Linked DNA regions of Callithrix jacchus. The protein of the gene in region 3 purifies or fractionates together with the protein of the main gene of each other region. This does not show direct contact. Links are inferred from orthologs where the notes say so. Each region holds a gene or a part of one and is shown on either strand. Other genes may lie near its edges. The genes, in order: FAM83H, FAM83D and CSNK1A1L.

Evidence for each region.
Region 1: the proteins of CSNK1A1L (region 3) and FAM83H purify together in Homo sapiens (affinity purification with mass spectrometry; 3 studies listed by BioGRID and IntAct, with this or other methods). This does not show direct contact. The link is inferred for Callithrix jacchus from reciprocal best matches to the Homo sapiens genes CSNK1A1L and FAM83H.
Region 2: the proteins of CSNK1A1L (region 3) and FAM83D purify together in Homo sapiens (affinity purification with mass spectrometry; 3 studies listed by BioGRID and IntAct, with this or other methods). This does not show direct contact. The link is inferred for Callithrix jacchus from reciprocal best matches to the Homo sapiens genes CSNK1A1L and FAM83D.

Annotation. Positions count from the first base shown.
Region 1 is NC_133517.1:53,882,964-53,892,766, forward strand, and holds FAM83H (protein FAM83H), read left to right. Parts: upstream 1-317; 5' UTR 318-410; intron 411-2,707; 5' UTR 2,708-2,769; intron 2,770-2,963; exon of another isoform or gene 2,964-3,098; intron 3,099-3,475; 5' UTR 3,476-3,490; coding exon 3,491-3,937; intron 3,938-4,710; coding exon 4,711-4,875; intron 4,876-4,942; coding exon 4,943-5,067; intron 5,068-5,309; coding exon 5,310-8,088; 3' UTR 8,089-9,191; downstream 9,192-9,803. UniProt on the Homo sapiens protein: May play a major role in the structural organization and calcification of developing enamel. May play a role in keratin cytoskeleton disassembly by recruiting CSNK1A1 to keratin filaments. Thereby, it may regulate epithelial cell migration.
Region 2 is NC_133506.1:34,344,479-34,355,092, reverse strand, and holds the start of FAM83D (protein FAM83D), read right to left. Parts: upstream 5,955-10,614; 5' UTR 5,929-5,954; coding exon 5,452-5,928; intron 1-5,451.
Region 3 is NC_133506.1:156,314,217-156,323,670, reverse strand, and holds CSNK1A1L (casein kinase I), read left to right. Parts: upstream 1-4,004; 5' UTR 4,005-4,018; coding exon 4,019-5,029; downstream 5,030-9,454. UniProt on the Homo sapiens protein: Casein kinases are operationally defined by their preferential utilization of acidic proteins such as caseins as substrates. It can phosphorylate a large number of proteins. Participates in Wnt signaling.

The DNA.
Region 1 (9,803 bases), on a different chromosome or scaffold from region 3:
GCGTCACCCCGACTTCCGGGGCGAGGGTCAGGGGTCAGCCTAGGACTTTGAGCCTGGGGTCAACAGCTGGGCTCCCCGGGGCCGGGGTCTTTGAAGTGAGGGCCTCACGGCCTCCGGCGGCGCTGGGCCGGGGTCCCCGCAGGGTGCGGGCGGGTCGGGGCGGACGGTCGGGGCGCGGGCCGGGGCGCAGGAATGCGGGCGCGCCGCGGGTGGGGCCGCCCCGCCCCCAGGTGCTGCCCGGGCAGGCAGGAGGCAGGAGCGCCGGGCGGGGCGGGGGCGGGCGCGTGAATCAGGCCGGGCCGGCGGGCGGGCCGCGCAGGGAGTGGCTGCCGGACCGACCGGACCGCGAGGCCGCTGGGCGGCGGTCGGCTCCTGCTGCCCCTGTGCCGAGACCCCGCGCACCTGGCCAGGTAGGGCCCCCTCCCCCGGCCCGGAGGGGCGGGGCGAGGTGGGGGCGGGCGCCCCTCGGTGCGGTCCCACCTGGGCCGCCCTCGCGCCAGCACCTGGGCCGGGGCCGCGCGATCCAGAGAGGGGCGTTGGAGCTGGGGCGCGGCCGCGTGCGCGGGGCGGCGGGGGGCGGCTCGGACAGGGGGCGCCGCTGCGCGGATTTGGACGCGAGCGCCCTCGCACGACGCCGGCCCGCGAAGAGCCGATAGGAAGGGGCCCGGGGCCGGGTCCAGCCTGCCCGGCCGCCTGGTCCCGCCCTCGCGGCCTAGTTGGAGTCTGGGTGCTGGGCACGGGCTGGACCCGTCCCTGGGGACGGCCGCCGTGGAGTGGGGTAGCCAGAGTGCGGCCTGGATCCCCGCGTGGAGAGCAGGACGAGCGACGGGAGTGCTGCCTCTCGTGCCCACGTTCCTGGGGTGGGGTGGGCGGATGGGGCCCCCAGCCGCCGCAGTTGCGAACGCGTAGGGTGCGCTGACCACGTTGGGCGCTGGGGTGCCCACCCCGCAAACTATCACTGAGCGACTTCCGGTCTGTGAGCTCCGTCCTCCCCACCCCACCTTTCCGCCTCCTAGAGCCTCCACGCCCTCCTGTGCCCGTTGGAACGGCACAGGCTCACCCCACTTGGTGTAGGAACTCTGGATCCTTCCATGGGGTCCTCCTTCCAGATACCCCACTTACGGCCAGGGTGGAGAGGATGGGGTCCTTAAAGTCCAGCTGAGAGCCCTGACCTCAAGTCACAGATCGGGGTCAGCAGAAGAGTGGATTCGTGCTGAGTCATTGGCCATGGGTGGGTTCCGTGCCCTCCCTCCCTTGGGCAGGCGTTGCTACACAAATGTGTAGGCATGCAGGCCACTGGAGTGCTCCATCTCAGGCTCGGGAGTGGCTGCGGCCCCGTCCATAGCTGGGGAGACACGGACCCATGAAAGGGGACAACACGGGGAATGAAGTCGTTGGAGGAAGCCATTGGCATCACTCTGTGTGGACGCTGGTGTCTGCTGGAGGGCTTTTGGCCACAGGGGCTTCCACAGTCCTGACAGTCCCTGCCCACATTACACACAGCCTGGACACTGTTGACTCCCCTACCCTGTGAAATCCAAAGGGACAGTGGGGGTCCTTTCTAGAGTGCTGCCCCCCCAGCAGCAGGAAGTGCCCCTCAAGATCAGCAGGGCTGTTCCCTCAAGCCCTGTGTGATCAGACACTGCCTCTACAGCCAGGCTGGCAGTGGTGAGTGGGCGCCCCCACCCAGCCAGACAGGCCTGCCCCTCACCCCCATGTGGTCGGCCTTGATCTGCTCCTGGCACAATCAAGACAGTGTGCCCTAACCAGCCCCACATGTCAACCATGAGGACAGTGCCTCAACAAAGAAATGTTGGGACAGCTTCTCCCAGGCCGGTTGGCATCTGGGGCTGGATAACTGAGTGGCACCAGGTATTTCCCACGTGTCAACTCCATGTCACCCCCAGGTGCGCCAGGCAGGACGGCTGCCGCCTGACCTTAACATTCTCAGCCAAGTGGCTCCTGCTAGCACCCATGCAGTCCAGCTGGCCAGCGCCCATCCTGTCAACGCCCCAGGGCACGCTCCTCTGTCTGGGCTGAACTGCCTCCCCAGCCAGGGCCAACATTCAGGAACCTGTGTGCTAGGTGGGGATAGGTGTGCTGCCTCCCTCAGCAACCTGAGGAGCACTGGGATGGGCTGAGTGCTCCCTAGGGCTCTCCTTCCAGGGAGAGGTACCCAGGTAGCTCCATGACCATGTGCACATGGGCCCTGGGCACCCTATAGAGGTCCCCATCAGACACCTTTCTGGAGAGGCCAGGCCCCCTGCAGGGACCCTTTGGAGAACAGGGTGGGCTGTGGGGCAGGCAAGCGTGGATGGTGGTGGGGAGCCCAAGACCTGGAAAGGTCCCTGCTGCTTTGGACTGGGGTTGGTGGGGACAGGACTCTGAGCAAGTAAAGAGCGAGATCTGGGGGCTGTGGAGTGCAGGCCCTGAAGGACCTGTGGGCACCAATGGGCTGTGGCCCAGGGAGGTTTCATCTAAGAGGGACAGTGACAAGAGAGAGGTCAAGGGTGGGCCAAGGGAAGGAGAGGGGCTGGTAGACAGGGACAGGGTCTAGGGGTCAGTTCCAGGGCTGGGTGGTCAGAGGATGGGCTGTGGGAACCCAACTGTGAAACTGAGGATGGGGAGGAGGTGTGGCTGAGGTCCACTAACGAGGACCTCCGCGTTCCTGGAGGAGGGTGGTCACAGCCCTGTTTGCTCATCTTAGGTGAAGCATGGCGTCATGTGGACCCTCAGCTGTGTTGTGCAGAAGATGTACAGGCCAGAGAGGTGCAGTGACTTACTCGGGGTCTCCCAGGCAGTCAGAGAGACACAGGCAGCATGGGCAGACCAACTTGTTCAGTAGGCACAGTGCCAGGGGCTCATGAACATCTTAAGAAAAAAAGCGAATATTGTAATGATGAACGTAGCCCAGATTACGTTTGTCTTTAAACCAAGAATCATGAAAGTTTTAGAGGGTTTGGTTTTATTTTTTGTAGCGATGCAGTCTCACTGTGGCCCAGGCAGAGTGCATTGGCACAATCATAGCTCACGGCAGCCTGCAACGCCTGGACTCAAACGACCCTTCTGCCTCAGCTTCCAAGTGGCCGAGACTACAGGCACGTGCCACCATGCCTGCCTAATGTTTAAAATTTTTTGTAGAGATGGGGTCTTGCTGTATTGCCCAGGCTGGTCTCAGACTCCTGGCTTCAAGCACTTCTCCTGCCCCAGCCTCCCAGAGGAAGGAGAGACAGGACTGAGATACCTGTGCCCCAGCCTGGGATACCTGCTGGTGCCTCCTCAGTTAGGGGTGTCCTAGGGCTGGGCCATCCTCTGTGAGCCTGGCTCGGCTGGTGCCCTGGAAGGCGGCCTGGGCATGGGCTGAACTCCGGCCTAGCCAACTCCCTAATGGCCCCTTCCACAGTGTGACCATGCTTGACGGCAGGAGTGGTCCCAGTGCCCCCACCCCTAGTCATGTGTCTCCCTGCCCCTCCAGGCCCTTGGCCCCGACATGGCCCGTCGCTCCCAGAGCTCCTCGCAGGGGGACAACCCGCTGGCACCCGGGTACCTGCCACCTCACTACAAAGAGTACTACCGCCTGGCGGTGGATGCACTGGCCGAAGGTGGCTCGGAGGCCTATAGCCGCTTCCTGGCGTCCGAGGGGGCACCTGACTTCCTGTGCCCTGAAGAGCTGGAACATGTGAGCCGACACCTTCGGCTCCCACAGTATGTTGCCCGAGAGCCCCCCGAAGGCAGCCTTCTTGACGTGGACATGGATGGCTCCTCGGGTACATACTGGCCAGTGAAGTCAGACCAGGCCGTGCCTGAGCTTGACCTGGGCTGGCCCCTGACCTTTGGCTTCCAGGGCACCGAGGTGACCACCTTGGTGCAGCCGCCACCCCCCGACAGCCCCAGCATCAAGGATGAGGCCCGCAGGATGATCCGTTCCGCCCAGCAGGTGCGCTATCGCAGCTGTAGGGTGGTGGGGAAGAGCCTGTGCTGGAGGCACGAGGGTGGAGGAGACACATGAGCATGAGCAGCTTGTGGGGTGAGCCCTGAGCTCCAGCTGTAGTGGGCAGTCCCAGCAGAGATCTTCAGGGCTGGCAGGCCTTGGTCACCATGGGCTGCAGGTTCTGCACAGTTCTCCTTGCCTGTGGTCATGGCCAGTGCCCAGAAACTCCAGGGCTCTGGGATGGGTGGGCACCCCCACCAGCCTGGGTTCATTGTTCAGATAATTCCCTCTCAGGCCAGCTGAGGGCTTCAGACCCTCACAAAGTAGCTGGCAGACTCCAGAGGGTGCTGTTAAACCATGGCAACTGAGGCCTCAAGTGCAAACGCTAAAGACCCCTGCTTTTGTCTCCTGCCCAGGACAGTGACCCCCTCCTGGACAGTGACCCCCCCTCAGCCCTGACAGCTGCCCTGGGGGAGGGCAGCTCAGCCATCTGTAGAGTGGAGGGAAGATGGAGGGCTCCTTGCAGTGCCCACCCTCATTCAGGGTTCTCTGCCCTGCACCTGCCTCACCCCGCCCCCGTTATGGCCAGCAGCTCCATGCTTCTTCTGTTGGGTCCCTTCCTCCTACCCATCTTCCCAGATGTGGCCCCACTCCCTGGGATGGGCTAGCATGTCTGGGTTTGTGGGTAACCCAGACATCTCCCAGGTGTGGAGGGGAAGCTAGACAATGGTGTGAGGACAGCAGGGGCCTCTGGTCTCCATCCTGACCCACCCCTGCAGGTGGTGGCCGTGGTGATGGACATGTTCACTGATGTGGACCTGCTGAGCGAAGTGCTGGAGGCCGCAGCCCGTCGGGTCCCAGTCTACATCCTGCTGGATGAGATGAACGCACAGCACTTCCTGGACATGGCAGACAAGTGCCGTGTCAACCTGCACCACGTGGATGTGAGTTCCTGGGAGTGGGGGATTGGGGAGGCCCCCTGGCAGAGATCTAACTCCCCTCCCTTCCCAGTTCCTGCGCGTGCGGACTGTGGCGGGCCCCACGTACTACTGCCGCACGGGAAAGTCCTTCAAGGGCCACGTCAAGGAGAAGTTCCTGCTGGTGGACTGCGCTGTGGTGATGAGTGGGAGCTACAGGTGCGCCCATGGGGTTCCCTCGGCTCCTTCTCTGGGGCCTCCTCCTGTTGCCCCAGTGCCACCCTTCCACGCTAGGGCCCTTCTCACCAGGAGCCCTTGCCCTGTAGCCACCTGCACCCCTAGGCCGGGCCCAGGCCCTTACAGACCTCACGTCCCTGAGTCCTCCCCGCCCCAGCCGTTGCCCACAAGGCTGCACTGCCCTTGCTCCAGCTCGGTTTGACTCTGGCCCTGACCCCCCACAGCTTCATGTGGTCCTTCGAGAAGATCCACCGCAGCCTGGCACACGTGTTCCAAGGAGAGCTGGTCTCCAGCTTCGACGAGGAGTTCCGCATCCTCTTTGCGCAGTCCGAGCCGCTGGTGCCCTCGGCCACGGCCTTGGCCCGCATGGACGCCTACGCCCTGGCTCCGTATGCCGGGGCTGGGCCCCTCGTGGGCGTCCCTGGGGTCGGGGTGCCAACGCCCTTCTCCTTCCCTAAACGAGCGCACCTCCTGTTCCCACCACCCCGCGAAGAGGGCCTGGGCTTCCCCTCCTTCCTCGACCCGGACCGCCACTTCCTGTCGGCCTTGCGCCGGGAGGAGCCGCTGCGGATGCCGGGGGGCGCCCTGGAGCTGCACGCGGGGATGCGGCCACTGTCGCGGCGCCTGGAGGCTGAGGCCGGGCCGGCTGGGGACCTCGCGGGCACGCGGGGCTTCTTCCAGGCGCGGCACCTGGAGATGGATGCCTTCAAGCGGCACAGCTTCGCGGCCGAGGGCGCGGGCGCCGTGGAGAACTTCGCGGCCGCGCGGCAGGTGTCGCGACAGACGTTCCTCAGTCACGGAGACGACTTCCGCTTCCAGACCAGCCACTTCCACCGCGACCAGCTCTACCAGCAGCAGTACCAGTGGGACCCGCAGCTCGCACCCGCTCGACCGCAGGGCCTGTTCGAGAAGCTTCGTGGAGGCCGCGCGGGTTTCGCGGACCCAGATGACTTCACTCTGGGCGCCGGGCCGCGCTTCCCGGAGCTCGGGCCCGACGGCCACCAGCGGCTGGACTACGTGCCGTCCAGCGCGTCCCGCGAGGTGCGCCACGGCTCGGACCCCGCCTTCGGACCCGGTCCCCGCGGCCCGGAACCCAGCGGGCCCCCGCGCCCCAACCTGGCCCAGCGTTTCCCCTGCCAGGCGGCGGCCAGGCCCGGCACAGACCCCGCTCCGGAGGCGGAGCCTGAGCGCAGGGGCGGGCCGGAGGGGCGGGCCGGGCTGCGGCGCTGGCGCCTGGCCTCCTACTTGAGCGGCTGCCATGGCGAGGATGGGGGCGACGACGGCCTGCCGGCGCCCATGGAAGCCGAGGCTTATGAAGACGATGTGCTGGCTCCGGGGGGCCGGGCAGCTGCCGGCGACCTGCTCCCCTCGGCCTTCCGCGTCCCCGCAGCCTTCCCCACCAAGGTCCCCATGCCAGGCTTGGGCGGCGGCGGCGGCAACAACAGCCTGGAGCGCGAGGGTCCGGAGGAGCCCGGCCTGGCCAAGCAGGACTCCTTCCGCTCGCGCCTGAACCCCCTCATCCAGCGCAGCTCCAGGCTGCGCTCCTCGCTCATCTTCAGCGCGTCACAGGCCGAGGGCGCGACCGGGACTGCGGCGGCCACTGAGAAGGTGCAGCTCCTGCACAAAGAGCAGACGGTGAGCGAGACGCTGGGGCCTGGCGGAGAGGCCGTGCGCTCCGCGGCTTCCACCAAGGTGGCCGAACTGTTGGAGAAGTATAAGGGCCCAGCCCGTGATCCCGGCGGCGGCGCGGGCGCCATCACCATTGCCAGCCACAGCAAGGCCGTCGTGTCCCAGGCATGGCGGGAAGAGGTGGCGGCCCCAGGTGGCGTGGGGGGCGAGCGCCGCAGCCTCGAGAGCTGCCTGCTGGACCTGCGCGACTCCTTTGCGCAGCAGCTGAACCAGGAGGCGGAGCGGCAGCCAGGAGCCGCCTCGCTCACCGCGGCGCAGCTGCTTGATACACTGGGCCGGAGCGGCTCCGACCACCTACCCTCCCGCTTCCTCTCTGCCCAGGGCCGCTCCACCTCCCCGCAAGGACTGGACAGTCCTCTGCCACTGGAAGGGCCCGGGGAGCGCCAGGTGCCCCATTCTGAGCCAAAAGCAAGCCCCACCTCGGCTTACCCTGAGCGGAAGGGGAGCCCCACACCTGGGTTTCCCACTCGAAGAGGAAGCCCAACGACAGGATTTATCGAGCAGAAGGGGAGCCCCACCTCAGCCTATCCCGAGCGCAGGAGCAGTCCTGTGCCCCCAGTGCCAGAGCGCAGGGGCAGCCTCACCCTTACCTTCTCCGGAGAGTCCCCGAAGGCCGGGCCCACCGAGGAGGGGCCGAGCGGCCCCATGGAAGTCCTGCGCAAAGGCTCCCTGCGCCTCAGGCAGCTGCTGAGCCCCAAGGGCGAGCGGCGCATGGAGGATGAGGGAGGCTTCGCAGTGCCACAGGAGAACGGGCAGCCCGAGAGCCCGCGGCGGCAGTCACTGGGCGGGGGTGACAGCACGGAGGCTGCCACAGGAGAGGAGCGGGGCTCCCGGGCACGCCTGGCCTCTGCCACGGCCAACGCCCTGTACAGCAGCAACCTTCGGGATGACACGAAAGCCATTCTGGAGCAGATCAGCGCCCACGGCCAGAAGCACCGGGTGGTCCCTTCCCCGGGCCCCGGCCCAGCCCACAGCAGCCCCGAGCTAGGCCGTCCACCGGCTGCTGGTGGCCTGGCCCCAGATATGTCCGACAAGGACAAGTGTTCAGCCATCTTCCGCTCCGACAGCCTGGGGACCCAAGGCCGGCTGAGCCGCACGCTGCCGGCCAGCGCGGAGGAGCGCGATCGGCTGCTGCGCCGCATGGAGAGCATGCGCAAGGAGAAGCGCGTGTACAGCCGCTTCGAGGTCTTCTGCAAGAAAGAGGAGGCCAGCGGCTCCGGGGCTGGGGAGGGCCCGGTGGAGGAGGGCACCAGGGACAGCAAGGTGGGCAAGTTTGTGCCCAAGATTCTGGGCACGTTCAAAGGCAAGAAATGAGTTTCCTGGCCCAGCAGCCCAGGCCAGGGTGTCCAAATTGCTGCCATGACCACCCGGAGCCTCCACAGAGCAAGGAGAGCACTGCTCCTGTGCTTGAGTGGTGACTGCCAGGCCACGGCTGCTTGGGGCTTGGCTGAGTGCGCCACAGCTCGGCTCCTGTTGGGGCTCACCCGGCAGCTGCCGTCTGTGCTCCTGGCCTTTCCAGTACTAGGGCTCCAGCCCCTCGCCACCAGTGCCTTTCTTCCCTCAGCATCTTCTCTCCTCAGCATCTTCATCTCTGCACCATCAGCCTTGCATGGCGCGGCGTCTGGCTCCGCCATCTCTTTGTGCTTCAGTACCCCCACACCTTTTTTTTTTTTTTTTTTTTTTTTGAGACCCAGGCTGGAATGCAATGGCGCCATATCTGCTCACTGCAACCTCTGCCTCTCAGGTTCAAGTAATTCTTGTGCCTTAGCCTCCCAAGTAGCTGGGATTACATGTGCCTGGTATCGTGCCCAGCTAATTTTTGTATTTTTAGTAGAGACAGGGTTTCACCATGTTGGCCAGGCTGGTCTCCAACTCCCGACCTCAAGTGATCTGCCCGCCTCAGTCTCCCTACATGGGGGGATTACTGACGTGCGCCTCCGTGCCCCGCTGAGTCCCCTGTCCTCTTTCAAGGGCCCCACGTTTGTGCCTCAATTCCCCATTCTCTGGGGCTCCTTTCCTCCTCAGGGCCTCCTGCTCTCAGGGCTCCCCTCCCTCCCTCCCTCTCTCTCAGGGTCTCCTCCATCCTCAGGGCTGCATTTCCTGTCCCACTTGGATTCTCCTGCTCACTGCCTCCCAGCATCTTTCTCTGAGGCCTGTGCTCTTGCTGTGGGGAAGATTGGGCTGCTGGCTGCAGGCCGTTTGCAAGGGAGGGGTGGAGCCGGACCGGAAGGATGCCCCTTGGAGTGGCAAGGAAGCTGGGCAGGGCAGACGGCTGGGAAGGGGCACAGGGAAGCCTCAGGGGCTGCCTTGGCAGGTCTGCCGTCTCCTCCAGCAAGGCTCTGGCCAGCACTGGGTGAGAGTGGGGAGGGGCACTGGGCTTTGCAGCTCAATAAAACGGTCCAGATGGACAACCTGTGGCCGCAGCCTCATGAGCGTCCCTTGCGTAGGCCCAGCCTGGGCACCAGAAGGGCTGGATGGTGGGGTGCTTGTCTTTGACAGGTGTGGGGCCAGGTGAGGGCAGGGGACAAGGTGCAGCTGAGGCTGATCCCAGCTGTTGAGACGCAGGTCCTGGGCACCCCTGCAGGTGGGAGTGGTCTTTGCCCTCCTGGTGTCCAGCAGACACCCCACCCCACCCCTGTTCTCAGGGCCTTTCCTCTTTGTCACCAACACCAAGAATGGGTCCAGGCTTCCTGGCTTATCTTTTCTTTTTTCACCCCCAGTGAGGAACCGTAGCGGACTCAGAATGATGCATTTTGGCACCACATGCGTGGAAAGTCCCCCATTGTTAGACGCTAGCTTTGTGCAATTCGTGTTTCTGTATGCTGTGTTTTTAAATTGCATCTACACCACCAGGATCTGCTATTTCTTTTCAAAAAAAAATTTTTAATGTAATAAATCCTAAGAGGGAACTGACTTAAGAAACAAGGCCGCTAGAGGCAGCAGTTCGGACTCCAGCAGCTGGGAGAGGAGGGGAAGTGGCCCTGCTGTCTCTCTGTCCAGCTCTGCTGGACAGCCCCAGCTGGTTACCA
Region 2 (10,614 bases), about 120 Mb from region 3:
AATGGCAGACAGAGGGCGGGCCCAGTGGCTCACGCATGTAATCCCAGCACTTTGAGAGGCCGAGGCGGGCAGATCACCAGGTCAGGAGATGGAGACCATCCTGGCCGACATGGCGAAACCCCATATCTACTAAAACACAAAAAATTAGCCAGGTGTGGTGGTGTACACCCGTAGTCCCAGCTACTCGGGAGGCTGGGGCAGGGGAATCGCTTGAACCCAGGAGGCAGAGGTTGCAGTGAAGTCAAGACTGCTCCACTGAACTCCAGCCTGGCAACAAAGTGAGACTCTGTCTCACCAAAAAAAAAAAGGAAAAACAGAAATGGCAGACAGAAAATAGAATAGTTATTGCCAGAGGCTGGGAAAAAAGGGTACAAGGAGTTAGTGTGTCAGAGCTTCATTTTAGGAAAATGAAATAGTTCTGGAGATGTCTACTAGTGATGGCTGCACAACAGTGTGAATGTATTTAATGCCACTGACTGTACACTTAAAAATGGTTAAAATGGTAAATTTTGCTATGTATTTTTTACCACAATATTTTTAAAAATTCTAAAATCCTTAACGTGACCCATGAAATCAAAAGGAAGGGATAAATTAGTAGCAACATTTCAGTCTGATGGGTAACATCCCAGAATGATGCACTAGTGAGAACTTCTAGGCCAGTGGTTCACAACTGGGGAGGATTTGCCCCCAGAGGGCATCTGGCAATGTCTGGAGACATTTTTTATCATGGTAAAATGTTCGCCATCTTAATAATTGTTAAGTGTGCAATTCAGTGGCAATAATTACATTCACAACCAACACTACTATGTTTCTAAAACTTTTTCATAGCCACAAATGGAAACTGTGACCACTCATCAGTAACTCCCTGTTTCTCCTTCTGGAGACACTGAATATCATGACTACTACCTGGCGTGAAGGATGCTGCTGGCATCGAGTGAATCGGGGCCATGGATGCTACGCAACATCCTACAATGCACAGGACAGCCCCTCAGGACAAAGAATTATCCAACACTAAAGGTCAATAGTGCTGAGGTTGAGAAGCCCTGCTTGAGGCTGACATGAGCATTTGGAACAGAAACTGATCATCATACCACACAGGTTCTACTGTTATGCAGAGGAAAGCTGTGCAACAGCAGGAAGGACTCTTAATTCAGACACATCCAAGTACATGCCGGGGCCTCCAACAGATTCCTTAGCTGCTACTTCTCCTGGCAGGGCTCTCTGGGAATGCAATGATCCCCACTACTAACATTTGGGTTATCAAGAGGATGCCTAAGGGTGAGGTCATAGCAAAAGTGGCCTTTTTGGAACAAAACTGCATAAGGAATAGGCACTGGCAAGAAAGGTGACTCTGAGGAATCAGAACCCCCTGGTGGTCGCAGCTTTGCCACTGAACTCCCATTCAACAAACCAGGAATAGCCAGACAGCCAATTCATAAGCACGTTCCCAAAATGAGGCTACGCAGCCCTTCCAGGAAGGGGGCCACAGCCCAGTCAAATCCCAATTCACACAGCAACAGAGGCAAAAAGCTGAATGAGTCATCAACAGATACAGTGGAAGAGGGGTGGATCTTGAGCAAGTATGTAGGGAAAAAATCCTGTATAGTTCAAGATTATCCAAAAACTTCCTTAGGAAGCAAACATGCATTCTGAAAAGGTTCAAAGCAGTTTCCTCCAGTTTTGGTGAAGTTCGGCTGAGCACCTGGTAAGCAGCCAGCTGGTATTCAAGCCATACTATATATAATTGTGTTTTATTTTTTAGAAATGAGGTCTTGCTCTGTCACCCAAACTGGAGTGCAGTGGCATGATCATAGCTTACTACAGCCTCCATCTTGGTTGCAGTGAGCTGAGATCATGCCATTTGCACTCCAGCCTGGGTGACAAGAGGAAGACTCCATCTCAAAAACAAAAACAACATAAAAATTAGCTGGTCTTGGTACCGTGCTCATGGAATCCCAGCTACTCGGGAGGCTGAGTCAGGAGAATCACTTGAACCCAGGCAGTGGAGGTTGTAGTGACCTGAGATCATGCCACTGCACTCCAGCCTGGGTGACAGAGTGAGACTCCATCTTAAAAAAAAAAAAAGTGTGAGCTTCAGAGCCAGAACCAGACAGACGTGGGCTTGAGCCCAACTCTGTCCCATGCTAACTGTGTGATCTCAGGCAACTTACTTAACTTCTCTGTGCCTGCTCTTTTCTGAATTGTGGCCTCCTCCCAGGGTTGGGAGGGTTAAATGAGGTAATTCATAGGTCAAGGGTTTAGCACAGGCACTGACCCATTCAAAGTGCTCAATCATATCATCATTAAGTACCTTTGCCATCAGAACACAGATGCAGAACAGCTTCTCACTTCATCTTGAAGCAGCCTGAGACCTGTACCTTCCTGGCCCTCACTGTCACAGGTACTGGACTTCAAAGGATGAGGTCAAGGTGTCATACATTCCCTTGTCCACAAGGCTGGCCCTAACACAGTGATAGCACCAGATCTGCGCTGTCACCTCTCCCCACCTGAGCACAGGCTCCTGACCCCTCCACAGGGAGTGTGGTGGTTAACATGGTTCAGATATTCTGTGCCTCAATTTGAGTACAGGTTCCTTCATTGTCTAGCTGCCTGACTTTGGGGCTATTTAACTTCTCTATGCCTCAGTTCTATCAGGTGAAAAATGAAGATGATAATTGCTCCTTCCTTGGGATTACTTAGAACCGTGCCTGGCAAGTAGAAAGTATTCTTTTTTTTTTTCTTTTTTAAGAAACAGGGTCAGGGCAAGACACAGTGGCTCATGCCAGTAATCCCAACACTTCGGGAGGCTGAGGAGGGCTGATAACAAGGTCAAGAGTTTGAGACCAGCCTGACCAACATGGTGAAACCCCGTCTCTACTAAAAGTACAAAAAAAAAAAATCAGCCAGGCATGGTGGAGTGTGCCTGTAATCCCAGTGACTCAGGAGGCGGAGGCAGGAAAATCACTTGAACCTGGGAGGCAGAGTTTGCAGTGAACTGAGATGGTGCCACTGCACTCCAGCCTGGGAAACAGAGCAATACTCCATCTCAAAAAAAAAAAATTATAAACAAAAAAAAAGAAACAAGGTCTCCCCATGTTGCCCAGGCTGGAGCTGCAACAGCCATTCACAGCGTGGTCAAAGTGCACTATAGCCTTGAATTCCTGGGCTCAAGTGATCCTCCTGACTCGGCCTCCTGAGTTGCTGGGACTACAGGTGCACAATACCATGCCTGGCTTTTTTGTCGTTGTTTTTAAACCAAAGAGACAGTCTCTGGGGCCTCAAATTCAGCACTGTCTCAAACCCACCTCATTTCAGCATCCCTCACCCCACACAGCTTTGAGTTCAATGCCACTCTGGAGACTCTTTAGCCCTTTTCCTAGTGCCTATAGCAACCTCCTCACTGCTTCCTATCAGCACACTGTCCATCCTCAAGTGTAGGCAAATTTGATGCCTTCCTCTGTGGCCCCAGCCCTGGTAGTGTCTGATACACAGCAGGCACTGAGTAAGCAAATAATTTGGCATCTATCAGATACACTGAAAATACTAATTGGATTTTTTTTTCCAAGACGGAGTCTTGCTCTGTCGCCCAGAGCTGGAGTGGAGTGATCTCGGCTCAATGCAACCTCCACCACCGGGTTCAAGGAATTCTCCTGCCTCAGCCTCCTGAGTAGCTGGGATTACAGGCGCACGCCACCACACCCAGCTAATTTTTGTATTTTTAGTAGAGATGGGGTTTCACCATGTTGGCCAGCCTAGTCTCAAACTCTTAATCTGCCCATCCCCGCCTCCCAAGGTGCTGGGATTACAGGTGTGAGCCACCGCACCCAGCCAATACTCATTGGATTTAAAGGTTCCAAATACAGCATCTCAGAGGGAATTGTGGGTAGTTGGACTAGGGCAGCAGGTTCTATCTGGAAATGTCAGCGTTACAAAATGCCAGTGGGATGAGAGAGAGTCTGAGCTCCAGGCTCCACCCCCTCCTCAGGCCAGCACGTGAGGTTAATAGTTTCCCTCTGGCCTCTGGTTCTGGTGCCCCTTTGCTATCACTAAAATTTTGGGCTGGGCAAAAGACCAGAACAAGCCACAGGTCTCACTATACAGACCAGTTCTTTACTTCTCTCAGGTTTCAAGTGCTCAAGTTCTACTGGAAGTGAGCTTTGGGAGTGCACACCTACACAATTCTGCCTTTTCCATCTTTTTAAATCTGCTCACTCAACCCGCAAGGGAAATGTCTGTGGCATCAAAAAGACCCTCGGCCCACCCAAAACACCACAGGGCTGGTAAGAGCCTAGCTGCAACCTGCAGCCACTCCCTCAAAGGCAAGGCACTAGGTCACTGTATCCATAACCACTGCAACCCCACCAGTCAGGGAGAGAACACTAGGAACACTGGTGAGAGCTGGGGCTTGGACTTCGACATGTCAACCTAAGAATGCACTGATATCTTCACCCACAGTCAGACACACTCAGGTACCAGCCCTAACAAGTCTTACCATGGTTGGGGCTTTATCTGCCATGTCCCTGGCACAGGCAGCCAGCCAGGAAGCTGGGCACTGCCAGTCAGCAAGCAAACTGACTATAGCTCCAGACCAAGGTGTCTGCCACCACACTCTACCTGCCACACCCACCTGCAGGCTGCCTTCTTCCTCCTTGATCCCCAGCACCCCGCTGCAGCTTCATCGAGGCTGGCAAGCAGACAAGACCTCCACTGCACCCAAGACCATGCCACACTAAGTGTCAGACAATAGGACCAAAACCCACTGAGAATACAGAGGCCGATCTAACGCAAATGTATCTGCATTTGAGGAGGCCACTGAAATCTCACCAAGACCCAGCCTATGGAAAACAAACTTCTTGCCATATTGATTCACAGTGGCAAACTTCTCCTCCAGTCATTGGCAGTAGAAAGAGCAGCAGGGCTCTCAGCCTGCCAATCCTGTGTTGATCTGCTTTTTACAACATAAGATCTGTAAAAATAATTAGCAGTAACAATTGATTCCTACTGATTCCTAATGCCCCACAGTTGCTTCTGGAGACCATCTTTCCGGAACTTTCCATACGTAAGTTCTTTGGTAATGAGTCTCCTAAGCAGCTCCTGAAAGTGGGATCTAGCGTTGGCTGACAGGAAAATCGGCAATTTTCCAAGTTTGATTTTAACTGAAATTTGGAACTGGGAGTACTTCTGGTACCCCCCTTCAGGGATGTGAACGTTAGGAGATGGAACCCGGGCACAATTCGCATCCTTGGGAACCGAGGCTTTCCCACTATCCCCTGCCACGAGGAGTGGCCTGGAATATCCGGGGGAGACAAGCAGAGTGAGGTGAGTCGGGGTCCCTGCTTCCGGCAGGGCGCAGAGGAGGTAGCGGCCCCGCCCCGCGCTCCCAGCAGGCCTCAATTTCCCGTTCTCGAAGGGGGTCTCCCGTGCGACCCAGGGCCCGGGCGGGCCGCTCACCTCGCGCGCAGAGCGGAGCTGCTGGCGCAGCGCGTCCTTGCAGCCGTAGGGGCCGCCCTCGCCCGCGCCGCGCGGCTGGAAGTGCGCCTCGACGCGCGTGGCGCCGCGGTAGGCGCCCCGGTAGAAGGCCGGCCAGCCGAGCTCCAGCAGCGGAGGCTCCAGGTCAGACTGCTCGGGGAAGTAGGTGCCGGACGAGCAGTCGTGCGAGGAGCCGAACGAGTCCTCGGCCGCCGCCGCCGCACCTTCCTCTCCCGGCCGCTCCGCCGCGCGCAGGATGGCGTGCACCTCATCCGGGTTCAAGAAGCGAGCCAGGCGCTCGCGTCGCAGGAAGGCCGCCAAAGCTTCCGGGCCGCCGGCCACCAGCTCCTCCAGCGCCAGGCGCCGTTCCTCGCTGAAGAGCTCGGCTGGATTGGGCGGCCCGCACGGCGACAGGCAGGCGGTGGGCAGCTCGTCCAGGCCCTCAGACAGCAGAGCCATAGCGGCGCTCCGACGCGACAGCCCTCGGACAAAAGCCGGCGTGAGGGCCTGCTTTATAGGCAACCTTTGAATCAAACAGGCCCGCGCCATTGGCCGCACCTCCCCGCCTCAACTCTCCCATTGGCTGATTTCCTTCCAATAGCGGCGAGGCGGCTCCGCCCCCTGATGCATCATTGGCTGCCGGCACAGTGGAGCCTTTGCTCTCAATGCTGGGCTGTTAAGTGGAATTTAAACTTGAAAGGGCGGGGCGGGCAGCAGAGCAGGTACAGAGGCGGGACAGCCGGGCTCCTCGCCGTCCCAACACGCCCCCTGCCGGCCGTCCCACAGAGCGGCCTCACAAGGCAGCGACAAGAGGCTGGTGCCGGCTCCCAGACACGCTGGCCACGCTGCTCCTAGGCTCTCGGAGCTTTGGCATGGCCAACCATATCGCCTTTATCCCCTGCATTTAACTGTGTATTCATTCATTCATTCATTCATTCAAAAAACACCGGTTCATTGTATTAGGAACTCTCCTTTGATTACACCCTAGGGTAGCCTTCTCTCATTTCACTGGTTTTTGACTTGTAAAACCCCCACCTACCTTGGTTACACGCTACTTTCCACCTGCACCGCTGCAGCCCTACAGGGCTGGAGAAAGAAAGAACATAACCATGCTTACTGACGGATCGCGCTTTCAATTCATGATCCTTAAAACTGCCTGCTAGGAGACAGGGCCCATGCTGTGGCTCACGCCTGTAATCTCAGCACTTTGGGAGACTGAGAAGGGCGGATCACCTGAGGTCAGGAGTTCAAGACCAGCTTGACTAACACCTGAGGTTCGAGACCAGCTTGACTAACATGGTAAAACCCCGACTCTGCAAAAAAATACAAAAATCAGCCGGGTGTCTTGGTGCATGCCTGTAATCCCATACTCGGGAGGCTGAGGCAGGAGAATCACATGAACCTGGGAGATGGAGGTGACAGTGAGTTGAGATCACAGCACTGCACTCCAGCCTGGGTGACAAGAGCGAAACTTGCTGCCTGCTAGGCTGTATTTCCCGCGTTCTCTCTACCTTTTCCTCTCTGACAGCTTGCTTCCTAGTCGCTGAGAACACAGAAGCAGTGAGAAGGGAACTTTCACATGCGCCCATCCAGTCTACCTTCCTGTCTGCATCTCTGCCCATACACAGGGCATTGATGAACTGCTCCTGCACCATCCAACCCCAACTCCTCTGCCTGGGCACTTCCAGCCCCTCTACTCACCAGCATCACTCCAGCAACCTCCTTCTTTCTCCTGGAACATCAGCGTCCCTCTTTACTGATTCATTTCTATAAGCCTACACACATATTGAAACATCTTCATCTTAAAACAGCCCTCTCTTGATCCTACATTCCTCTAAACCTCCCCATTTCTCTTCTTACTTTTGCAGCATAAAACCTCAGACATGGCTGGGCATGGTGACTTGCACCTGTAGTAATCCCAGCACTGTGGGAGGCCGAGGGAAGAGGATCACTTGAGTCTCGGAGTTTGAGACTAGCCTGGGCAACATAGCGAGACCTTGTCTTTACAAAAAAATACAAAAGTTAGCCGGGCATGGTGGTGTGTCTAACTTTTAGTGCATGGCAGTCCCAGCCACTGGGAAGGCTGAGGCAGGAGATGACTTAAGGCCAGGAGTTTCAGGCTGCAGTGAACTATGATCGCACCACTGCACTCCAGCCTGGGTGACAGAGCAAGACCCTGACTCAAAAAAAAAAAAAAAAAGAAAAAGAAACCCTCAAACCAGTTGTCTATAGTTGCTGTCTCCAGTTCTCTTCCAGCCCTCTTCAATCAGGCTAAAACCCCCACTGCTTTACCAAAACCCCTTGTCAGGTTCATCATGAGTTCCACACAGCTAAATCCAACAGTCAATTTTCAGCCTTTATCTTCTTTGTGTAAACGAAAAGAGCATCATAAATGTGAGAAGTTACCATTATTATTTAGCAATGCCTCTCCCTCTTTCCCTCCTCTCCCCATTTCCATCCATTTGTGAAGTTTCTCAGGACTAAGTGTGGGGACTTCCGTGTGTCCCTGCTCCAGTATCCAGGGTCCAGGAGGCAACAAGAGAGCACACTTTTCACCCTCTTTCAAAACACCAACAAAGTTCTGTAGGGGACAAGGACCAAGAACCGTGGTCTGAGGCTGTGCAACCACAGCTTCTCTATGCCTCACAGTAAAAAATGAGAATGGCCAGGAGCATAAGCACTTGAAAGGAAGAACTGGAATGGGGCAGGGGGGAAAGTACCGGACACATCAGTGCACTCCAACAACAGGACAAAGGAGAGGGGCACTCTTGTTACATATAAATGTCATCAGGGGCCAGCACAGTGGCTCACGCCTGTAACCCTGCACTTTGGGAGGCCAAGGCAGGCGGATCGCTTGAGGTCAGGAGTTTGAGACCAGCCTGGCAAACATGGTGAAACTCTGTCTCTACTAAAAATACAAAAAGTTATCTAGGCGTCATGGCAAGCACCTGTCATCTCAGCTATTCAGGAGGCTGAGACAGGAGAATCGCTGGAACCTGGGAGGCAGAGGTTGCAGTGAGCAGAGATCGCACCACTGCACCCTGGATGACAGAGTGAGACTCCATCTCAAAAAAATAAAAATAAAAATAAAAATAAATCAAGAAAACCTTGGAACATGTATGGAATAAATATATGCTATTACAGGGCTTCATGTTAATTTCAAAGAGAATATTTGACAGAATGAAGGTCATTCCCAACCACCTACCTTTTCTTGAAGTCATCAGCTTTTACCATCTCCCAGTCTGGAGAGACATCTGCTCCAGGTCTGAGCCCCCAGAACTCCCTTCAGGGGTCTCATGCGAGAGCCCTCCGCAGGGATGGGGGAGTCAGGGGGAAGAGATCAGACGCCCTTACCCACCCTCTAATCCAGGAACCTCCTCTTTGTGAATTTAAGTCAGCACTGTTCAAGTGAGCTCATAGCAATAATCAGTCACACTAGCAGGTGTTATTAAAAGGAATTTAATAATTTTAATTAAAAACTCTTAACAGCGATTTCTGTCACAGGCCTTGGTAGCTGGAAGCAACTCCAGGGACATGTGCCCCCTCTGGGATGTGGCTGAGCCACGGTTTCAGACCCGAGGCCCAGCATTGCCGTGTGGCAAGGGGCTACCTGGAAGTTACTTCAGTACGATATCAAAGATCCGCGAGGATTTTTTTTTAAAAAAATTTTAAATATATTAGACTCTCTTGATTGCCATTTTTACACAAAGCTGCTGATACAGTATACAGAGTTTTAACTTTTTTTCACATAAAATACATTTTTTTAAGTGTTCTCTGTACATCAGTGGCTTCTGGTCTGGTGAATTATTGCGGAGGGCTGGGGGTCTGCAGACTTTTCCTGGGTGTGCAGAGCCAGGCCCCGCACGGTGGCACTTGCAATGCCCATGGGAAGCAGGCCCTCTGGCCAAAAAGAGACTCCTATCAGGGAGAGGGCTATAGCTTCTGGCACAAGGGGTCACTTTTACAGAGTCATCCACTGACCACTGGACCTTTTGCTCTTATGTGCCCTGGGGGAGGGGAGACCATCCCCAAGTTACAAATAGCGAGGGTTCAATACAGTCTTTCTGGGCATCTTAAAAGGAGCACCCTTCTTGAAAGTACCCCAGTATCCTGCTCTAGGAGAGAGAGCAGGTAGGCGAGAGAGCTCAGGATGAAAAGGTATCTGACACCAGCAACCAAAATGGTCTCATGTTATTACAAAGCCAGTAAACTGGTGGGGCAGGACAGGGGAAACACCCTTGTTAACTGTTCTAAGCCCCTTGGAAATGGATCAAACAGTACAGAGCAGTTTTACTTATGCTGCATATTTGATGGAGAATTCTATCCTGAAGTCTTCAGTAGCCCTGGGCCTAGAGTTTATTCAGCTTCCCTAAGCTACTGGCCAGAAACTCACAGCCTGGTGGTAGTTGTCAACTTTCAATTGTTTGGGGCATATGATGGTGAGCCATGCAGTGCCTGCTTTGGAAGTGGCCTCCTTTAATCTAATGAGGAGCTGCCACAGGACCTGGGTGTCAGCAGGAGCTAGGCATGTGGTTGACTTTGCCGGATTTCTTTCAGCTCCCAGATGCACCCCTGCCATAAAGGGAGGCAGATTCCTGAGGAAAGGCTTTGATGCTGAAGGAAGCAGCTCCAGCTCCTTTTCCTACCACTATTCATTAGTGGGGTGAGGGGGCTCTGTAATAAATGAGCCGCCATGAGCAAGAAACAATGACTTTAAAAACCTGAGATGCATTTGGCAGCAAATTGCAGAACAGTCTTTTAGACACTGATCTCAAGCTGCTATTATAGAGTCCCCCAAAGATGCTGGCTGAAGACAGCTATCACTGAAAGTTCCAGATGGACCTGGATGCTGTCTGCTTGGAACCCAAGATCCAGCATCTGTACTTGGTGGCCAATGTTATCCAGGGATGGCTGTGACAGCTGTTACCAGCTAAAGGGATTCAGACTCTAAGGATTCTAGGAGCTGAAAAGCAAAGGGTCACTGACCAAGATGCAGACACTTTGCCTCAGGTGACTTGAATGGGACTGCTGATGCCTGTGGTCCCTAAGGGACAGAAACCACAAAGAACAGTTTTCCTTACTCTGTCTTATTCCTCCTTTATCTGCAGAACCTAAGATACTTGCTGGCATGCTGCAGCTACTCAG
Region 3 (9,454 bases):
CATAGTGTTTGAGCCACATAAACCTCAGTAAATCTCTTGGTGACAGCATTATTTATTTAAGAACATATTTTCATTTATCTTGTATTCTATTTAATAGTTCCAAAAGGAGATGGCATTCATGCCAATGGTTTCCATAACAACAATTGCCCACTCAAGTCTATAGCCAAAAAGAAAATTGTTTTTACTTAGAAATTTTGTGCCTCAAAAGACCATTCTACTAAAGTGTCTCCGTTTCCTAGGAAGATATCAAGAAGCCCAGAAAATTAACCCCAAAACTCATACGAGACTAAAACCAATGCCATTTGAATATCATTCCTTAATTGCCAAAAGCTGATGTGGGTTTATAGGCAAGTGAATAAAACCTATTTTGCAGGATACCTTCTAAGTGTTAGGAGCAGACAGGAGTATTTCAGGTGGGAAGGAGAAGTCAGATTGCAATGTGGAAACATTTCTATGTAAGCATTTCTGGTCAATTGCATCGAGATAGCTTAGGGGGTAGAAAAGAGACTTGAACTTCTAACACCAAGTAAATTGTGATTTACTTTCCTAAGTTAAATCTTTTATGCCTGTTTCATTTTTTTGTACTTTCTCTTAAAGAGGGCCACAAAAAAAAAATGAATGAAGTTCAGGACTGACAAAATCTGAATTGGTTGTTAGACAGTACAATACTACCCAGTACAATCCTGCCCAGAATATGTTATTTTACTTTTACTGGGGTCATCTTATAATAATAGAAATTATTTTAGTGGCAATTTTGAAACCAAGGCTAAATCATAGCTTTAAAATGCATTGACAAAATATATAATTAAGGGAAAGAAAGAGAACTACTACCTGCCCAACAGTGAAGCCACCCAGCATTCAGTAGCCTCTGGCTGTTGATATCTATGCAGGGGTTAAAAGTACTGGCTTTGGAGTCAGGCAATCCTGGATTTCCATTCTGAATCCATCATTCCACATCTGTGCCACCTTTGGTGAGTCACTCAAACCCTGCAAATAGGAGGCATTCAATAACTATTTGTTGAACAAATGAATAAATAATGCATCAACCCCACACACTGTCCAGAAAATTTTATCAAATATAGTAGTTCAATTTCCTTACATTTTAAAAACTATTTGCTGCATATCTCTTAGGGAAAAATTTTGAACAAAAGGGTGGGAGGGGATGCAAGAGTTTAAGCAAAGTGTTGTTTGGGTTTAAAGACTACTTATATTTGGTTGAAGAGATTGGAAAAGGTTTCATGGAGCAAACAACATTTAAGGAAGAGCCATGAAAGGTTATTAGAATTAGATCTGGGTGATAGGGAAGATAAAGCAGGCCGGAAGCATTTCAGGCTAAGGAAACAACACCATAAGCCAAGACCCAAAGATGAAAAAATGCAGGGAGTATGTGTTCAGGAAAGAGTCAGCAGCCCCACTGGCTTGTGGTAAGAGAATTCATTGGAGACTGGACTGGAAGCTATTCAGGGTCATGCCACCACTTCGGTTACTGATCCTCCCCATTCTGGAGATGCTCACAACTTCCCTGTCATGAAGGTTCACCCAGCCACCATTATAAGTTACACTTGACTTTCTTTACAGGCAGTGCCTTTATTTAACGAGCACAAAGAAGTATAGGACTTAGCAAACGATTTACAAACTATCATTAAACTATTCTAGTTCCAGTGTTGAAAGGGGATTTTTTTTTTTAATTTCAAGTTTTTGTCGAAGTATGGGTTATCTGTAACGTTTTTAATTACTGACTTCTCTCACATAGAGATCATTTGAATTTCAAGGTTCATGTTGAAGCCATTGACTGGAAGGCTGAAAGGGAAGGAAGCATAATGGGCACTGCGTTAACAACATAAATTTTGTTCTAGGTCATTAGAAGGGAAATTGTTCTCCAGGCAAATTTCAACAAAGTTGGATAAGTAAATGAAAGAAATGCCATTCTAGTTGATACAATATAAAAAGTAACTGCCTTGGGTCAAACTTCAGTTTCAAATTGGCCTCTGACATTTGTCTGTAGTGTGGTCTTGGGCAATTCATCTAACCTCTCTATGCCTTGATTTCCACTTGTATAAAACGAGAAGTACAATCATAATAATAAAACTTGTCAGCAGTATATTGCATTACTCTCCACCTGTGAGAGGAGTATGTATTTTCACTCCACTGTCTTTGGACCCGTCCATGTTTTTGTCCAGCGGAATGTGACATTTGTCACTCCTTTTATTATGAGAACAGCATTCTCCTAAGGCGGTTCCTCTTTCAGCCTACATTCTAGAACAAAGAGGACACGGGAAGCAGAGATGCAGCTGATCTATGGCTTACATAAATCCTAAATTATAAATAAACTTTGTCATTGTAAGCCACTGAGATTTGTGGGTTGTTCTTGCTGCAAAGCCAAGTAATATACTGTGCTACCCACCTCACATATTTGTCCTAAGTGGAGTTTTTTAATGTTTTAAAGCAGTTCATAATGTTCTATGCCCATCTATGTCTCAAACCAGCTCCTTCTCTCACCATTTGAACTCAAAGCATTCTATGAAATTCTGTTGCAGGTCAGAAAAGTTAGGAACAGCACTATATGAGACAGTAAGTGGGAATATCTACTTTCAAACCTCCACCACCCTCTCCTGCCCTTCTGCCATTGGCCCCCAAATTCATTGCTACTGCTCCATTAGGATTAACAGATTTTTTTAGATTAAAAATTTTTTTAGATTAAAAAATATAGACTTTTTCTGCTAGTGCTGGTCCCACTTCTTCTGAGAAAATGCTCAGAACTGCCCGCAGCTATTTCTTCTTCATATTTTGGTTACATTTGACTTGAATGCTTCATTTAGTCAGTTTTGCCAGAACTCCTCTGTGAAATCCTATTTGAACTCAAAGCATTCTATGAAAAAACTTCAAAAGGATGGCTTAAAAAAAAAAGGCATTTCAATTTAACGAGCAGTAAGTGACTCACCTAAACTCAATAAAGAAGCAACCACTGAGATCGCAGAGAAAAAGCTCCAGGTGGCACCACGACTCGCATTAAACCAGAGAGAGACGATGGCTAGGGAAGTAGGCGGGACAATGATTGGGCCTGAAAACCAGGAATCTCTGCTATAAAAGCCTCCCACTACTGCACCGTGAAGTTTAAAGCCGCTGAGCTCCGGCCAGGCGCGATGGCTCAAGCCTGTAATCCCAGCACTTTGGGAGGTCGAGGCGGGTGGATCACGGGGTCAACAGATCGAGACCATCCTGGTCAACATGGTGAAACCCCGTCTCTACTAAAAATACAAAAAATTAGCTGGGCATGGTGGCGCGTGCCTGTAATCCCAGCTACTCAGGAGGCTGAGGCAGGAGAATTGCCTGAACCCAGGAGGCGGAGGCTGCGGTGAGCCGAGATCGTGCCATTGCACTCCAGCCTGGGTAACAAGAGCGAAACTCCGTCTCAAAAAAAAAAAAAAAAAAAAAAAAAAAGCTGAGCTCCGAGTCACATAAGCCTACGCAGTTTTGAATTCCAGCTCGCCCATGTTCTCCTGCAACCTTAGGCCCCTTACCTGAGACTTAGCCTTTCTTACCCAATAACTCAGGGAAACAGCAGCTACCTTACAAGACGAGCAAGTCCGTGTGAAACGGAGTAAGATGAGTGGAACACCTAACGGAAGACTCAGACAACAGCAGCTGCTCTAAAAATTCTCCATTTGTGGTTGGTTCAGCGGAGGAACAAGATGGCGGCGCCGGCGGCGTGACGGGGCCCTGGGGCCTGCAGCCATTGACTGCGGTGGCGGCGGTTTGGCAGCCCCAGCTCGCCGCGCCGCGTTTCTCCGCCTGCGACCCCTCCGCGACAGCGAGGCGGCCACAGCCGTCCACAAAGAGGTGGAGGCCAAACCTGGCGATCGCGAGGAGCCCTCACAAACTGCCACCTGGTGGAGATCCGGCGGCGCTGCGGGGATCAGGCTGACACCAGCCGACTCCAGGCCGTCTCCTGACGCCCTCACCGTCAGCCTTGTGCGCCTGAGAGCCCGGAGGCCAGCCTCCATCTCTGCCCCTCAGGATGATGAAAAACAGCGGCTCCAAGGCCGAGCTCATTGTGGGAGGGAAATACAAACTGGTGCGGAAGATCGGGTCTGGCTCCTTCGGAGACGTTTATCTGGGAATCGCCACCAGCAACGGGGAGGAAGTGGCAGTGAAGCTGGAATCTCAGAAGGCCAAGCACCCGCAGCTGCTGTATGAGAGCAGACTCTACACGATTCTTCAGGGTGGGACTGGCATCCCCCACATGCACTGGTATGGCCAGGAAAAAGACAGCAATGTGCTAGTCATGGACCTTCTGGGGCCCAGCCTCGAAGACCTCTTTAATTTCTGTTCCAGAAGGTTCACCATGAAAACTGTACTTATGTTAGCCGACCAGATGATCAGTAGAATTGAATACGTGCATACGATGAGTTTTCTACACCGAGACATTAAACCAGATAACTTCCTGATGGGTACTGGGCGTCACTGTAATAAGCTGTTCCTTATTGATTTTGGTTTGGCCAAAAGGTACAGAGACAACAGGACTAGGCAACACATCCCGTACAGAGAAGATAAACACCTCATTGGCACTGTCCGATATGCCAGCATCAATGCACATCTTGGTATTGAGCAGAGCCGCCGAGATGACATGGAATCCTTAGGCTACGTTTTCATGTATTTTAATAGAACCAACCTGCCGTGGCAAGGACTAAAGGCTATGACAAAGAAACAAAAATACGACAAGATTAGTGAGAAGAAGATGTCCACGCCTGTTGAAGTTTTATGTAAGGGATTTCCTGCGGAATTTGCCATGTACTTGAATTACTGTCGTGGGCTGCGCTTTGAGGAAGTCCCAGATTACACGTATCTGAGGCAGCTCTTCCGCATTCTTTTCAGGACCCTGAACCACCAATATGACTACACGTTTGACTGGATGATGTTAAAACAGAAAGCAGCACAGCAGGCAGCCTCTTCCAGTGGGCAGGGTCAGCAGGCTCAAGCCCAGACAGGCAGTAAAACGAATAAAAAGGATAATGTGAAAGATAACTAAGCATGGATGAGGAACGGAAGAAGCAGAGCAGATGATTCAAGCAGCGTTTGATTCTTCCCACTCTAGAAGTTGTAGTTCATACGTACACTAGCTAGTGGCTGTGGACAATCATTTCCTTGGTGTAAAAAACTTTATTTCTATATAAACCGACTCCAGGGAGCGCTGGTGATGCTGTATCCCAAGGTGTAGCTGCTGGAATTGTGAATGTTATCTGAGGTAGTGAAACATGGTGTCTGGTTTTCTGTTGCACGTATTCAAGTAGAAAAGTTAAATGGTGGGCACACATGAATTGGGGACGACGTTGTGCATATGCCAATTTTTTGTTAAAACCTTTTAGTCTGAGCTAGACTACTTTGAGATCTCATTGAAGAACAGTCTTCAGCCACAGCTGCGAAAGTTGTAAATGCTTACAGTTGAGCATTCTTAGGCTTTCTCCCTCCCTGGGGTTTGCAGATTGTTCACTTGAAAAGCATTCTTAAAACGGCTGGCTTCTTGTCTGCAAACCAACTGATCTGGTAACAACCAAAAATTCCAGTTTTGAGTATAGGAAAGATTCTGCCTGCTTACCTGTGAAGACGTAAGAAAAACTTAGTCACTACCAGATTATCTTTAGAATTCCACATTAACTCTATCATGTTCTCGGTATTTAAAAAATAAAAAACAACGAGAGCAACCATATTTGTCACAGAAATGTAGTTAACAGCCTACAACTGAACGTGTATGTATGTTGCTTAGATAAATGTAATCACTGTAAACTCCGATATGATCTAGGATTTTGTTCACATTTTGAAATGGGAGTTTTTATGTTTACACGTTCATCAAAAACTAGAAACTTTCTGTAAGGAAATGATACTTTTTTAAACAACAATCAAAAAAATGCCTTGCTGACTCACTAGGAAATAAAAATCTCCCCAATTTTTCGATAGTCAACTTCAAGGCATTTGTTACATGATATTCCTGTGCAAGTACATTTTGTTTCACGATATAACTTTTTCCAATGTTTTTATTTCAAAATAACTTTTCTGTATGAAGGGGAAAGGCATTCTTTCATTTTTTCTTTTTCTAATTACTTGTGGTACAATCTCTAGTACTCAACCAGCAGAACTTGGTATTGTTACTTCTTCCACTGACTAATAGCTGGGCTAATTTCAAACAAGAATGCAAGCATTGAAGAGTTTGACTACAAAGCATTGTTGAAAATACTTGTGTAATGGCTATAAGCGGTTGACTTTTACCCTTGGAGAGCACACTGTGTGAGTCTCTGTGAGCACTGACCCTCCCTAACCCCCATCTACTTCTCTAAATTATCTGTGTGTACGTGCTCTTCCTCTCAACCTTTTTGCACATTCTTTTCTTTTTCTCTGACGCAAAACATAGGAAAACTCATTTTCCTTTTAATTTTTTAAATGGTGTAATTTATTCACTTATAGCATGTCAGGATAAATTAAAAGAACATTTATCTGAAAATGCTGCCAGGAGCCTGTTGTGTAAATGTGGGCATTTTGTAAAATAACCTTGAAATTGTAAATTGCCACATGTTTGGTCAGATTGTGTCAGGTTTCATTTATTTTTTAATTTTTTTCATTTGAAAACTATTTCAGCAATAATTAATTCTATGATTACCACATTCTGCCATTAACGGATATATTAGTACTATAATACTGAAGAAATCTTAATAAGCACAAATTTTGGGGGTGGGAAGCTTCCTGGTTTCTTTCTATCCACCCTTGTTAAGGTATTCATTTCTTAGCTATTAAGCCGTTGGTTCTTTTGCCAGAAATCAGTCTCATAAAGCTATTTTTGAGTATAGTTTATATAAAAAAAAATTTAGCTTTGTTAGTAACTTTTCCAAGCTGACCTCCCTCTAGCAAGATATTTTTCAGTGCTTTTATTCAGTACGCACTTATCCTGAAATATTTCTGTATTCTTGCCATTTGAAAAGGTTGTGGCATAGTTTGTCTGCAATGAAGCTGCAGATTTAAAACTACTGTTAGTTTTGTAAAACAAAATATAGGTGTTTTTGTCCTGGTATATTATCATTCCATTTTTCTTCTAGATACCATTCATTGTCTTCACAGTTCACAAAAGAAGAATGTGAAATTCAGTGAATGCTGTTAGTGGTCATGCCAAGAGATGAATCTCATTTCACCAAAATTAAATCATGTTTTTCACTATAAGGTGATGTAAGGTGAAGACACATCACTGTGATATTGGAAGACCTCACCACTTAAGGCTCCACAGTGGCTTACTCAGCAGAATTCTAGGTTACTGCTCTACTTTGTTCACCCATTGGAGAATGCACTTTTTTAAATGTTGGAAGATGGCCATTCCAACTACTGTTGAATCTTTCGGTTTGGGGGAAGGTAAAACAAGAAAATAAAATGAAGTATACATGGCTGGGCACAGTGGCTCATGCCTGTAATCCCAACACTTTGGGAGGCTGAAGCAGATGGATCACCTGAGGTCAGGAGTTGCAGATGAGCCTGGGCAACATGGTGAAATCTTGTCTCTACTTAAAAATACAAAAACTAGGCGGGGCGGTGGCTCAAGCCTGTAAATCCAGCACTTTGGGAGGCCAAGGCGGGCGGATCACGAAGTCAAGAGATCGAGACCATCCTGGCCAACATGGTGAAACCCCATCTCTACTAAAAATACAAAAAAAAAATTAGCTGGGTGTGGTGGCACGTGCCTGTAGTCCCAGCTACCTGGGAGGATGAGGCAGGAGAATTGCTTGAACCCGGCAGGCGGAGGTTGCAGTGAGCCGAGATTGTGCCACTGCACTCCAGCCTGGCACCTGGCAACAAAGCAAGACTCTGTCTCAAAAAATATATATATATATACAAAAAGTAGCTGGGTGTGGTGGTGGACGCCTTGTAGTCCCAGCTACTCTGGAGGCTGAGGCAGGAGAATCGCTTGAACCTGGAAGGCAGAGGTTGCAGTGAGCCGAGGTCGCATCACTACACTCCAGCCTGGATGACAGAGCAAGACTCCGTCTCAAAAAAAAAGAGTAAACATGAAGGGAGACACTGGTTATCTCCTACCATATGAATGTGCTTATTCTTTTATGTCTACAAATAGATATTTGGAGATTTACCTTTACTATGATTTTTTTATCAACAAATATTTTTAAGATACTTTCCTACTTCTACAAATACTCACAAAGACTTATTAATGTTTCAAGCAGAGCGCACTGCAATAATTATAAGCTTAATTCCATTATAGTAAAAATATCAAAAGGAGGTTTTTTTTGTCAAAAATTAATTTTCCTTCTTTGATTCTTTGTCATTAACCTTCTTCCATTGGGAACCTACTAGAGAGTAACAAAAGGAGCTATATTCTGCCACATGAAGACAAAAGACAATAATATATTTCATATTTTAAAGCCAAAAGTTTAAAAGAAACAGCAGGCACACATGTATATTTATGTACTTTTTTCCTTAACATATTTATAGCTTCTCATAGGTCATGCACACTGAAAGAGTAGCGCACATCTGAAATGTGCAGAATTCACACATTTTCCAAATAAAGTACATCATCGGTTCTGTATTTTTTTGTCCTCCAACTTTGAAATTCCTAGGAACTACAAAAACAGGGAGAGAGAAAGAGGCCCCCCCACCACTCAAGAGGTCATATTGAATGATTCCAAGGAATAGTAGAAACTTGTACTGAATCCAAGTTTTTAACTGCCAAGTTTTAACTCCTGGCTACAGTTCTCAACATATGACATAATTTAGAAACTTGGTTTAGGCACAGGAGAATCATAGGACTTAAAACACTATGTCCCTCAGCATGTAAAATATTTATGGAAAATCCAGGCAAGTAATAAATTGTAAAGAAACTAAAAGGAAAAAAATCTTGCGAAATGGCAGCTATGACTTTTTAAATCAAAAAGGGGAAAAGAAGAAAGGATGGCTCTTAATGTATAAGTTGAGTGGAAACTTCTTGGGTCTTTCACAGCCTTTCTATTCTTCTGCCATCTTCTAACATCCGTGATTCCTTAGGGCCATTATGAGACCCACTAGGAGGATGGAGCAGCTGAGTATGGTGTCACGTTTCCAACCAGAGATAATCACAGAAGTTTAGAAATAAGCATTTTCACCCCGATCCAGCAATACCAGCACCACCACTCACAATACTTTCACTTGCATATACATACCGTGAAAGAAAAATTTCCACTGCATTTATTTGAATCTATCTTAAAGGTCTAAGGTTTGACTCTGAAGTTATAGATGAAATAAAGTTTTACCTGCAAATCTCATCTTTACCTCTAAAAATCTCATCTGGTCAATCTTTGTTATCCCTATTACGGAAAGAGAAGAGTGATAAACACAAAAACAATTATCAAATTATACAAAATGATTTTCACCTGTTCATACTGATGTTTAGCCTTAGACATATTCTGATGCCCAAGCACCTGTCTGTGCA